Coturnix japonica: one gene and its partners. The protein of the gene in region 3 interacts with the protein of the main gene of each other region in a pairwise test. Links are inferred from orthologs where the notes say so. Each region holds a gene or a part of one and is shown on either strand. Other genes may lie near its edges. The genes, in order: JUP, PKP3 and CTNNA3.

The links.
Region 1: the proteins of CTNNA3 (region 3) and JUP interact in binary tests that used the Homo sapiens proteins (3 or more experiments, as listed by UniProt). The link is inferred for Coturnix japonica from reciprocal best matches to the Homo sapiens genes CTNNA3 and JUP.
Region 2: the proteins of CTNNA3 (region 3) and PKP3 interact in a two-hybrid assay, tested with the Homo sapiens proteins (2 studies listed by IntAct). The link is inferred for Coturnix japonica from reciprocal best matches to the Homo sapiens genes CTNNA3 and PKP3.

The regions. Positions count from the first base shown.
Region 1 is NC_029542.1:4,306,034-4,309,780, reverse strand, and holds the start of JUP (junction plakoglobin), read left to right. Parts: upstream 1-1,423; 5' UTR 1,424-1,521; intron 1,522-3,747. UniProt on the Homo sapiens protein: Common junctional plaque protein. The membrane-associated plaques are architectural elements in an important strategic position to influence the arrangement and function of both the cytoskeleton and the cells within the tissue.
Region 2 is NC_029520.1:1,340,186-1,343,830, reverse strand, and holds part of PKP3 (plakophilin-3), read left to right. Parts: exon of another isoform or gene 1-714; coding exon of another isoform or gene 715-753; coding exon 754-946; intron 947-1,672; coding exon 1,673-1,749; intron 1,750-2,355; coding exon 2,356-3,077; intron 3,078-3,435; coding exon 3,436-3,559; intron 3,560-3,645. UniProt on the Homo sapiens protein: A component of desmosome cell-cell junctions which are required for positive regulation of cellular adhesion. Required for the localization of DSG2, DSP and PKP2 to mature desmosome junctions.
Region 3 is NC_029521.1:8,414,800-8,418,468, reverse strand, and holds the start of CTNNA3 (catenin alpha-3), read left to right. Parts: upstream 1-829; 5' UTR 830-935; coding exon 936-960; intron 961-3,669. UniProt on the Homo sapiens protein: May be involved in formation of stretch-resistant cell-cell adhesion complexes.

The DNA of each region.
Region 1 (3,747 bases), on a different chromosome or scaffold from region 3:
CCTCCAGGCTGCAGGCTCTTGCTCCATGCACGGGAACACGGGTTCACTGGGAAGGGCTGATCCTGCCCAGTGCTCCCAGCAGAACTGCCCCATCTACAGGGACATGCTGCCATAATTCCCATCCGAGGAGCAGCCGCACCACTGTGCCACCACCTGCCTGGTGCCCCCTGAGCCCCCCCAGCCCCGATGTCCCTGGGAGCCCCATAGTAGCGCTCCATAGCAGCACTGAGATTTGCTGTGCCCCTTCATTGCTCCCCCAGGAGCCACTGACCAGGGGGCCAACAGCAAACCCCTGTGCTGCCTTATGGGTTCTGTGCACGGTGCTGGTTCTGGCAGCAGCCCACCCCCACCGGCAGCTCCCAGAGCCGCCCCTTCCCCCCGTCTCGGTGCTGGGTGCTGCTCCTGGTGCACGGCATCCCTGTGCCACTGTACCCCGTCACCACCTCTGCCCCACAAGTGCCTTCATCTCTCTCCCAGCAGCCCCCAGAGCTTTAAGCTCCATTAATTTAATACTTCCCATCTCGCTTTTATATTTTTCGCTCGTTTATTTTGTATTTTAAACGTTCTGGTGCTGAACTTGGAATAAAACTCGGTCCGCTCTTTTGACGGCCGCCTCTGCCCGGAGCAAATCGGGACGGACACAAGTGCCATGAAAGACCATCTGGGGGGGGGTCGGTCGGGTCGGGACCCCCAGGCCGGGCGGTGGGTGCTGGGCGGCCGCTGGTGCAGCCACGGCGCTGCTTTGTGCCTGGCGGCCGTCGAGCTGTTGGCAGCACGAGGCTCCGCCGGGACTTGGCTGCGGTGACTGAAACCGAGAGGCTGAATCACGGCGTGAGCCGCGGGCGAGGGAAGGGACGGGATGGGGCGGGACGGGACGGGATGGGACGGGATGGGGTGGGATATTATGGGATGGGATGGGATGGGATGGGATACAATTGGATGTAATGGGATGGGGACAGAATAGGATATAGAATGGGATGGGGAGGGGTGGGATGGGATGGGATATTATGGGATATTATGGGATATTATGGGATGGGGTGGGATGGGCGCTGCCGCTCCCCGCCCTGCTCCAGCTGCGTGTCTCCCCCGCTCCGACCCGCAGTGCCGCCCCCCGCCCCCCCTCCATTTACCCCCCTCCATTTTCCCCCCCTCCATTTTCCCCCCGTTGTCCCGACCCGGTTCGGTCCCGTTCGAACCCTCCCGGCTCCGCCCCGTGACGTCACCCAGGTGGGCCCTCGGTGCGCTCACGCCCTTCCCCACCCGCCCTCGCCCCGCCCCCGCCCCGCCCCGCCGCCCAATCAGCTCCCGGCGCGCGGGGGGCGGTCTCCTCCCCGCCAATGGCGAGCGGATAAACACGGGGAGGGGGCGGGGCCCGGTCAGCAGCGGCGAAGACGGACGGGAAGAAGAACCAATGGCAAGCGGGCAGCGCTGTGAGGGGCGGGGCCAGGCGGGGCGGGGCGCCGTTCGCCTTTTGTTCGTGCGGGAGCGGGGCGGGCGGCAGAGCTGCGGGAACCGGGAGAGGTGAGAGACGGGGGGGGCGGGCGGGGGGCGAGGGGGGGGGGCCTGGGCTGGGGGGTCCCGGCATCGAGGGGCTCCGGGCTCCGCGCGGTGTCGGGCTGTTACCGCCCCCCCCCCCCGGGGCAGCGCCGCGCCCGGCTGCGCTCATCCCGTCCGACCGGTCCCGAGCAGCCCCGGGGCTGCGCTCACCGCCGGGCTCGGTTCGGTTCGGCCCAACCGGCCCCGTGCGGTTCCGGTGCTGCCGCTGGGCGCTGCCCCGGGTGGTTGTTCCGGCGGAGCCGCTCACCTGCCCCGAGCAGCCCCGGGGAGCGGGACGGGCTGCGGGAGGGGAACGGGGACGGGGGGGTTAATGAAGCGGCTCCTGTTCATCCCGCCGCGCTGACACCGAACGTCGGGGCAGCGGAACTGAGCGGGGAGCGACCGGCTCGTATCGTCGTCACGTTCTCGTTGCGTTCGCTGGGTGATTAGTTTAATTAATCGGCGCAGATTAAAGCACGACGCGGGGCCGCTGCTGGGAGTTGCCCGCGGAGGAAGGCGTGGGTTGTGCGCGGGGGGACGCGGTGGGAGCGTGGGCGGCTCCCGGGGCGCAGCCCGGGCCGGGACGGAGCCGTGCTGACCTCAGCGCTGTCCCCGCGTCCTGCCGTGCCCTCCCCGGTGCTGGTATCCCCGGGCCCCCCCTGTCCCCGCTCCGGGGCTGTCCCTGCTCCGTCCCTTCTCTGTCCCTGCTCCGTCCCCTTCCCACCCGCAGTTTGGTCCGTCGGTGGGGGGCGCGGATCCCCTCCCGTGTCCTTGTGGGCGTGCGGCGGGGCAGTGTGCGGAGCGGAGCAGCCATTAAGGTCCTTCCACCTCCGAAGGCCGTAATTGTTCACCGCTTTGGAGGATTTCCACAAAGTGGTTTGAAAAACCCATTTGGCAGCGAACTCGGCTTTAACAGGTGGGCACAGGACGCGCCTGCGCAAAGCCCGGGTGGCGGTGGCCGGGGGTCGTTTTATCCCCGGTTCTGGTGCCGCTCGCTGGGCGATGAGGAGCTGCTGGGGGGGGCTGAGCTGCAGCTGCCCGACTCCGGCGGTGGGGAAGCGCTGGCGGAAGCGTGGGGGGGGCTGCAGGCCGCCCCAACCCCCCCCGCCCCCACAAACAATGGCTCCCATTCCATTGTCTGGTGCTGCAGCCACTCCCCTGGGGACAGCGGGGATGCCGGCATGAAGCACCTCGTGCCCCGTCCACATGTGGGTCCCCGTGGGCTGTGCCGTTGGCACCACTGCCCGTGGTTTGTTCACACCTGGAGACCACGGAGCGTTTCGCCTCTGAGCTGTACATGAAGGTCGGGTGCTGCCCTCCTCCTCCTGGGAATCCTTCCTTGTTCCCCCATCAGACCCCCAGCCGGTTGGGGGGTGCAGTTGGCAGCCCGCAGGGAGGAGCTGCGCTGTGGGGCTGCAGTACAGGGTCTGCATGGGGAGCTCACAGGGCTCTAATTGAGGTGTCTGTACCACAGCTCATGCTGCTCCTGAAATTTGAAATTAGGCTGGCTTCTAATTAGCAGGAGTTAAAAAGAAGTTTCATTTCTATTGAAGCACTGCAAGTCTGCCTTGGACTTCTTGTGGCACAGTTGCCAGCTCTGACTCTTGTTTTAGGTGGTGTTTTCCCACCTCGGTGCTTTAGGGCTGTGCCTGGGATAGGCAGCAAATGGGGTCTGGGTGGCAGCTGTGGGTCCCAGTTGGTCTCCTGGGACCTGGGGTGTCCCCCACGGGGCTGTGCCCTGCTGGCAGCGCCTGGCTCGCAGTCAGCCCTGGAGGATGCAGCACTTGAGCTGATGCAGCATTTCCAGCTCCACCAGGGTTGGGTTTACCCCGTTTCCCAGGGACAGGGTTGGGTGTTTGGGGATGGAGCAGGCACGCTGTCTGTGCATGGGAGAGGCTGCCAAAGAAGTCTTAAAACTTGACCTAAGCAGCTTAAAAACACATCTGTGCTTACAGTGCTGCTGGCCAGAGCTGAGCTGCAGAGTGCTCCAAAGCTGCATCCTGTGCTGCCAGCTCAAGGACGGCCCAGCACAGCCCTGGATGCCACGCTTGGCGTGTTGCTGCCTGCTCTGCTCAGTGCTCCCGAGGCCCACATGCTGCAGGGGTGGTGCAGTGCACCCAAAGCTTTGGGGTCCAGTGGTGGGGGGGGCAATGCTGTGTGTGCTTCATCACCCCCTCCTCCCCCCGCTCCCCTCCATGCTACATCAGTCCT
Region 2 (3,645 bases), on a different chromosome or scaffold from region 3:
TTCTTTGGTAAATCCCAACTGATTTGGAAAGCAAAGCAGGGAGGGCCCAGCCATCGCGCCCTAACAGTGGTGGTGGGCTCTTGTAGGACGTGGCGTAGGGCTTTATCAGGGAGACTGCCTGGTGTTGGCTGGGGGCCTCTTGGAGGTCTAAGGGCTCTAGGGGTCAATGGGCAGTGAGTCTGGGTGATAAATGGAGGGATGTGGGGCTTTCCAAGGGGGGTCTAGAGATGCAGGTGAAGCCACGTGGGAGTCTGGGGGAGGTTGTTGGTGCCTGTTGCTCACTAGGGGTCCGTGTGGAGGGCGGGGGTCAAATGGAGGCTGCAGAGGGTTTTGGGTGTTGATGTGCAGGTTAAGCCTCAGGCAGGCTGTCAGGAGAGGCCACGCGGTGGTCCAGAGGTCAACTCGGAGGCCACACGGAGGCCTGGGGCTTTTGTATCCTTGGGTCTTTTGGGGTCTGTGGGGGATCCAGCCCCAACAGTGTATCCAGCTCCCATCACTGTGTCTGTGGGCACCCCATGGGGCTCCTTTGGCCTTGAGGGGGGCCTGCGTTGCCCCCATGTCTGCTCAGGTGTGCGCGGCACTGAGGCGTGGCGGCGGCGGGGCGGGCCGGGTGCCTCCCTACAGCACAGGGAAGGCTCCACCGCCGCGCACACGCACACATACACACACACACCTGCATAGGGCGGCCGTGCTCTGCTCAGCCCCTCCGCCGTCATGCAGGAGACTAATGCCTTCTTGCTGTCGGCCCTGCAGCCTGAAGCCGGTGTTTGCTCACTGGCTTTGCCTTCAGATCGCCAGCTGGACATTCGCGGCCGAGAAGCAGCTGAGGCCCAGCGGCTGCGCAATGCTCGCGTCCAGGAGCAGGTCCGGATCCGCATGATGCTGCGGGGACAGACGGCCGCCTCGCACCCCGACACCGCCACGCTTGACCCCATGGATAGCAGAGGTGGGAGATGGCGGGGCGGCTCTCTGCGGGTGGGGGGTTCCCGTCTTCCTTTGATCCAAATGGGGGCTTCCTACGCTTGCTTCAGCCTGGGCTGCTTGTCCCCAAGCCTCACTTTACCCCATGAGGGTACTGGGACCCCATGCCCCACTTTGGGCCGCTCTCGTTGGCTCCTTCCCTGGGCTCTCGGCGCTGTCTCGCCTTGCTGGCTGTTCTCCAAGTGCCTCCATTTAACATCTGAGCTCACGGCCTCCGCCCTGTTCATTCGCCCCATTGCGCCTCTAGCTGCGCCCTAATGATGAGAGAGCCCCCCCGGCACCATGCACCCCAATGTGGATGTCCCCAACCTTTAGCTGTCCCTGCTGTGGTGGCATCCAGGTGGCAGTAACCCAGTGGGGCTAGGACACAAGTAAGCCTTGCAGCAGAGCGTGGCTGGCCCCCTGAGCCCCTGTCCCAGCTGAGTAAGGTCAAAGGGAGCTGTGTTGAGCCCCCACCAAGCTAGCAATTACTGCTCTCGCCATTGGAGCATCCTTGTAAGGTGGAGAAGCTGTGGAAGGCGTGCTGCCCCCTCCACAGCCCCTTCCTATACCCCATGGCTGTAAGGAAGGCCCTTCTTGAGCACTCTGGCTCTCAGCCCCCTATCCACCCCCCTGAGGGCAGCAGGGTTTATCCCAGTGTTTATCCCAGCTTGCACAGACCAGTGTGTTATCTCCCATCTCCATCCTGCAGGTGGTCCATATGGCACGACTGTGCGCTCCTCCTTTAGCTCCCGCTCACAGACCAATGGCTTGGACTCCAAAAGCTCGGTATGTCTGAACCAAGCACACATCTCTGTGCTAGCTGGGGATGGCTTAGACAGCCTAGTGTTGATAGACAGCTTAGTGTTGACTTACGTGAAGGTAGAAAGGCCCTATAGATGGATCTGGAAAGGCTGGATCAATGGGTGGAAGTTCAACAAGACCAAGTGTTGTGTTCTGCACTTCAACCTGCACAACAACCCCCGGCAGTGCTACAGGCTTGGGGCAGTGGAATGCTGCGTGGGAGAAAAGCATCTGGGATTTAGTTGACAGTGACTGAATGTGAACCAGCATTGTGCCCAGGTAGGCAAGAGGGCCAATAGTTTGTATCAGCAGTAGCACAGCCAGCAGGAGCAGGAGGCGACTGTCCCCTTGTACTCAGTTCTGGTGAGGTTACGCCATGAGTATTGTGTTGGTTGTTTGGTCCCTTACTATGAGAAACACATAGAGGCCCTGAGGCATGTCAGAGAAGGGTAATGAATCTGGTGAGGGGGTCTGGAGTGCAAGTCTTATGGGGGAGCTTGGATGGTTTTGGCTCTGTCCTTTCCTTTTCCTGTGGTGAGGATGAAGGAATGTCTGTGTTCACCCTCCCTTAACCCCATGCTTCCCCCCTAGCTGTACCAACCCATGGCCAAAAAAGACTTTGGCACACTCAAGGGCAGCAGCTGGTCATCGCGGTCAGCTGTGGACCTCACGCCAAACAAGAGGATGGCAACTGTCAGCAACGGGGTCATGCCGAAGGGCCGGAGCTACGGCGTGGGCTATGCCATGTCACAGGCTGCCAACACCTCCCCACGGCCCAACTCCTTCCATGAGCGCAACTACCGGGCCCGGCAGAGCTTTGACACGCTGTCGCTGCGCTCCCTGCGACTGGCTGATGGGCCACTGCCTCCCAGTGCTGCGGATGACCGCTACAGTATCATCTCAGAGCAGCTGGACCCCATGGGGCACCAGTCCCTCTATAAAAACCAAGGCAATGGTGGCTTCAGCCGCTCGTACACCTTTGAGAGGCGGATGAGCACTGGTTCCAATGCAAAGGGCTCCGACTGGTTGGATGGCGGAGAGGTGCCCCAGAGCCGCACCATTCGGGCACCAGCCATGCGCACGCTCCAGCGCTTCCAGAGCAACAACCGCTCACGGCTCAGCACCAGCTCCTTTGGCAGCATCCAGCCGTCCTCACAGGCACCTGTTGGGAGTTCCTACATGGGCATGGTGGAGCACAGCTCCCGTGCACCCTCTGTGCGCAGCCTGGCTGAGTCCAGCCACCACCTCCAGGACCAGCGCGCCATGGATATTTACAACGGGCACAGCACGCTGCTCACACAGCAGTCAGGAGGGTGAGTGCCAACCAGCCCTGTCCCTTGTTCTCATGAGTCACTTGGCTGGTTTAGGATTAAACTCCCTGGTTGTTGCTTGTCTGCAAGGGAAGGAGGAGGAGAAGTGAGGTGGTTGGCATAATTTGGCCTCACCGTCATGGAGTGTGGTGTGAGTTCATCTTTAAGTGTGTCCTGCATATGCTTTTAGGTCCTAATGTAAAACCATCCTGAGATGTAGAGGTGGGAAGGTGCCTGCTAAGCCAGGAGGAGTGTGATGAGGAGGGAGATGGGTTGGCATGTCTCTTTTGAAATGTGGGTTGTGGTGGGGAGCAGAGATGGAAGACCTTTGGGGGTGTCTTTCCTTTCATGTGGCTTCCAGGTTTGATGACATTGACCTGCCCTCAGCGGTGAAATACCTGATAGCCAGTGACCCCAACCTACAAGTCCTGGGTGCTGCCTACCTCCAGCACAAGTGCTACAGTGACAGTAATGCCAAGAAGCAGGTAGGCACTAGAGGGGAAGGGTCTCCTGAGCCCCTCTGATATGGTGGGGCACACCTGGGAGGATGAAGGAAATGGAGGGAGCCTCA
Region 3 (3,669 bases):
CTACATTGGAAACCCAACTAGTACATCATAACAATTTTTTTTTTTTTTTTTTTTTTTCCCATTCTGGAAATTATTTTTTCATGTATCATCTAAAGGATTAAGGAAAAATACAGTCACTATTTTTGTTGCTTTTATAAAATCTGATTTACTCTCCCTGTACTGACTCAGTAGAGCTATTAAATAATTATATAATAAATAAGAATTTAAGATCAAATAATAAAACATTCTATTACACACTCTCAGCAGTGCCTTATGTCTTAGAAATCTCAGGTGTCATGTGCATGTATTTTACAAATACTCATCCATTCTGCTTTGTATTAATACATTTTTCTTTTCTTTTTTTTTTTTTTTTTTGAAGGCAATGGGCCTTTGCATTTAATGAAATTGATAGGCTGTTATGCTCTGTTTGCCAGTGGAGAATAACATACAACAGAAAGAAAACAAATTTGGTGCCAAAAGATTCAGTTAGAGCCTCATGAATCCTTCTGCTGTCCAGTTCAGAAGCTGGTCTGAGTCACTGCCTTGAGACAGAATCTGGCATGAGACCAGAATGTATGGGAAAACAATAGCCTTGCTGAATATTATAAATAAGCACTAGAAAAATGAGTAATGGAGTATTTCATGTCATTTAATTGTTCAAAATCAATTTTAATAAAGGCTTTTAATTTTTTTCTTTCTTCTTTTTTTTTTTTTTTCTTTTTATTAAATATCTAAATATCTGTGTAGCTGTGCTCTTGTATATAGCTTTAAGGCTGCCCATCCCCCTGCCACCATTCCAGCAGCCATTGTGTCCTGTCAGTCATCCTGAAATACACTAGAGTGCTTGTCAGGCAGTCCCTTGCAGATGCTTCAGAAGCCAAATAGTGAGCCAAATCAGTTGCACTGAAGCTCCCTAACACAAGGATATAACATAGGCAGTTGCTTTAGTGCTGAATATGGACCGTTTGTATTCTAGCATAGGTGAGTGATGTGCTGTTAGCTTTCTACTGACTTAGCAGGAAATGGATTCTAAACTTCTCTAATTTCTGCAGAATATCTTTGGCTCGGCTTTCTAATGCTAACTGGTTGGTCTGTGTCTGCATACAGTTTACTTTCACATTGATCTAAGAAAGTGCAGGTACTGTGCTCAACTGTCTTGCAAACTGTTGGAAACTATTTTTCATAGTAATATTTTTCTTAGTCCATAGCACTCAGTATTCTCAGTTTGGACACATCTGCTGACAGGACAAGTTCTTATTTTAAGTTTGCAGCACTTGTAGAAGAGTGCAGGTAGTTGCTTTACTGGATGTTTGGAGACAGAAGAACTGTATCTGGTGACACGTGCTTAACGTCCTAAGTGCTGTAAAAGTTCCCCGTCTACAGTGCTGAAATTGCCTACTGTAAAGGTTAATATAACCAAGTGTGAGGTTAAAGCAGCCTTTTAACAAAAAATCTTGCAGTCAAGATCTGTACTGTATTTACAGGGCATGTTCTTATGGGAGTAGGTATATGCATGTCAAAAGTAAACAAAAATAACAGCAAACAAACAAAAACAAGTAAAAAAGTCCTCCAAACTGTGATTTTTAAAAAAAAATTTTATATTTTTTCCCCCCATATTTTGAGGAAGATATGAAATTATCTAAAAATCTCTCCCCTTAATTAAGAAGAGGAAATGTCAGGAAAAGGTCCAGAATCATTTTTTACTGCCTGCGTATTTTTCCTTGCCACCCTCTTGTCTCTATAATACTGTAATACTTGTCTCTATTAAAAACAAAGAAACAGAGATCAACCCCAAGAACCTTTTATTACTAATATGATAAAGGATACTGACAAGAGTCTGGTAAGTTAAAGAAGTGGTAATGGTGTCAAAATAATATAAAATTTTGCATTTTCACTGCATTTGTTTGCAAGTGTATTTTCCTATTCTGTCTGCTTAAAAAGAACATTGTAATTATACTTGTGAGAAAACAAACAAAACTCCCAAACATCTACAATTTATAACAAAGTCTTTAGGTAGGTTATCTATACCTTAGAATATAATTTAAATTTTCAGGAACAATAAAGCAAAATTTGCCATTGATTTTCAATTAATGCTAATTTATTGGCTTGACCTAAGGCAAAAAACTATTGTAGATTTCAGAAACCTGAGTGAGCACTGGAGCAAAGAGTAAAAATATCTGCATTAGACAACGTGCTAAGGTTTAAAAACCTACAAACACAGGGAAGATGAATTCTCTGCTCATGGAGGTTTTTCTGATTTAAAAAAAAAAAAAAAAGAATTGAATTTGTAACACAGTATAAATTTGAGATGGTTCAGTGGGAAAGATCTAATCACTGTAGACGATATGTAGTATAGGAAGGTGGGCTGAGAGAAAGCAGGAAGCTCTTGCTGCAAGCAGCAAAGGTCTCATATTTGAACTTTGAGTGAAATGGCTAGTAATGCCCTTCTGCCAGTGAATCGAGTGGAAGCCTCTACAAATTTAAAGTATGGCTATATGTGAAGAAAAAATAACCTGACAATCTTGTGATTTTTTTTCAAATCTCAGTAGAAGCACTAAGTGTTGTTTTCAGCCAACCTACTTCCTTTCATCTGATTTTTAACAGGTCCAAAAGGAATTCACAGTAGAATCAATGTAATCTATTTGCATTTGTTGTGATGTATTTTAAAAAAAAACCTCACATACTGGGAAGTTTCTGCAAATTATGTCAAACACAAGAATTGTGAACCAGCAGTGTAATTAAAAATCTCAAGTCTTATTAAATCTACTTAATGGCTACAGTGAGGTGGTAGGAGTGAGAGACAAGATCTGTATGTTTGCTTGAGGGTTTGACTACATGACCTCCAGAGTTCCTTTTCAACTGTATGATTCTGTGCTTCTGTAAATAGAACTTTATCATGAGGAAGGATATGCAGCGGTTTGAGCTAGGAGAAGAGCTGCAGCTCCTTCAACTAGGAGACAACTGAATTTTTGTACTGCTGAAGAAGGAGAGGGATAAGTTACATTGTTGTCTTTAAGAACACTGGGAGCAGTCTACTTGATGATTCACTGAACAGAAAGAGAACCACTGACATGACTAATTTTTGGTGGCCCAAATTTTATTTCCTTGGCTTTTGTTACAGATGTCTAAGAAACAAATGTGTAGAACATGGTGAAATGATTTGCAGTGACATTTCAAAAGTTGTCTTTTTTTAAAAAAAAGTTATATGGAAGGAAAACTGAAGTTGTCTGTTTCATGTCAGGGCTGTTCACTTTTTATCTGTTGACTTGTAAATAGAATTAAAACTGAAGAATCAGTTCTTTCCATATATTCTCACCTGATTATGAGCAACTGAATCTGTGGAAACTTAGGGCTCTAGCAAGTGTATTTTATAATGAAGCAATAAATTTAACACTTGTATCACCTTTATTGGTGATATTAAGTTTGGTAAAATCTTGAAGTACTTCTAACATTAATTCTTTAATTATCATTCATGCTATCATTGCCTGCAAGTGGAATGTGGATATCTATTATAAGACAAACAACTTGGTATAGAAAGCTTAAACCTACTGCGTAGTATTAGATCAATGCTAGGTTCACCAGGAGGTTACAATATATCCCTTCAGCCTGCACAATCGAGCTACCTTATTACTTTATTATACAGCATCAATGGTTGTAATAAGTCCTGCTCAAAAACAGACAGATATCCAT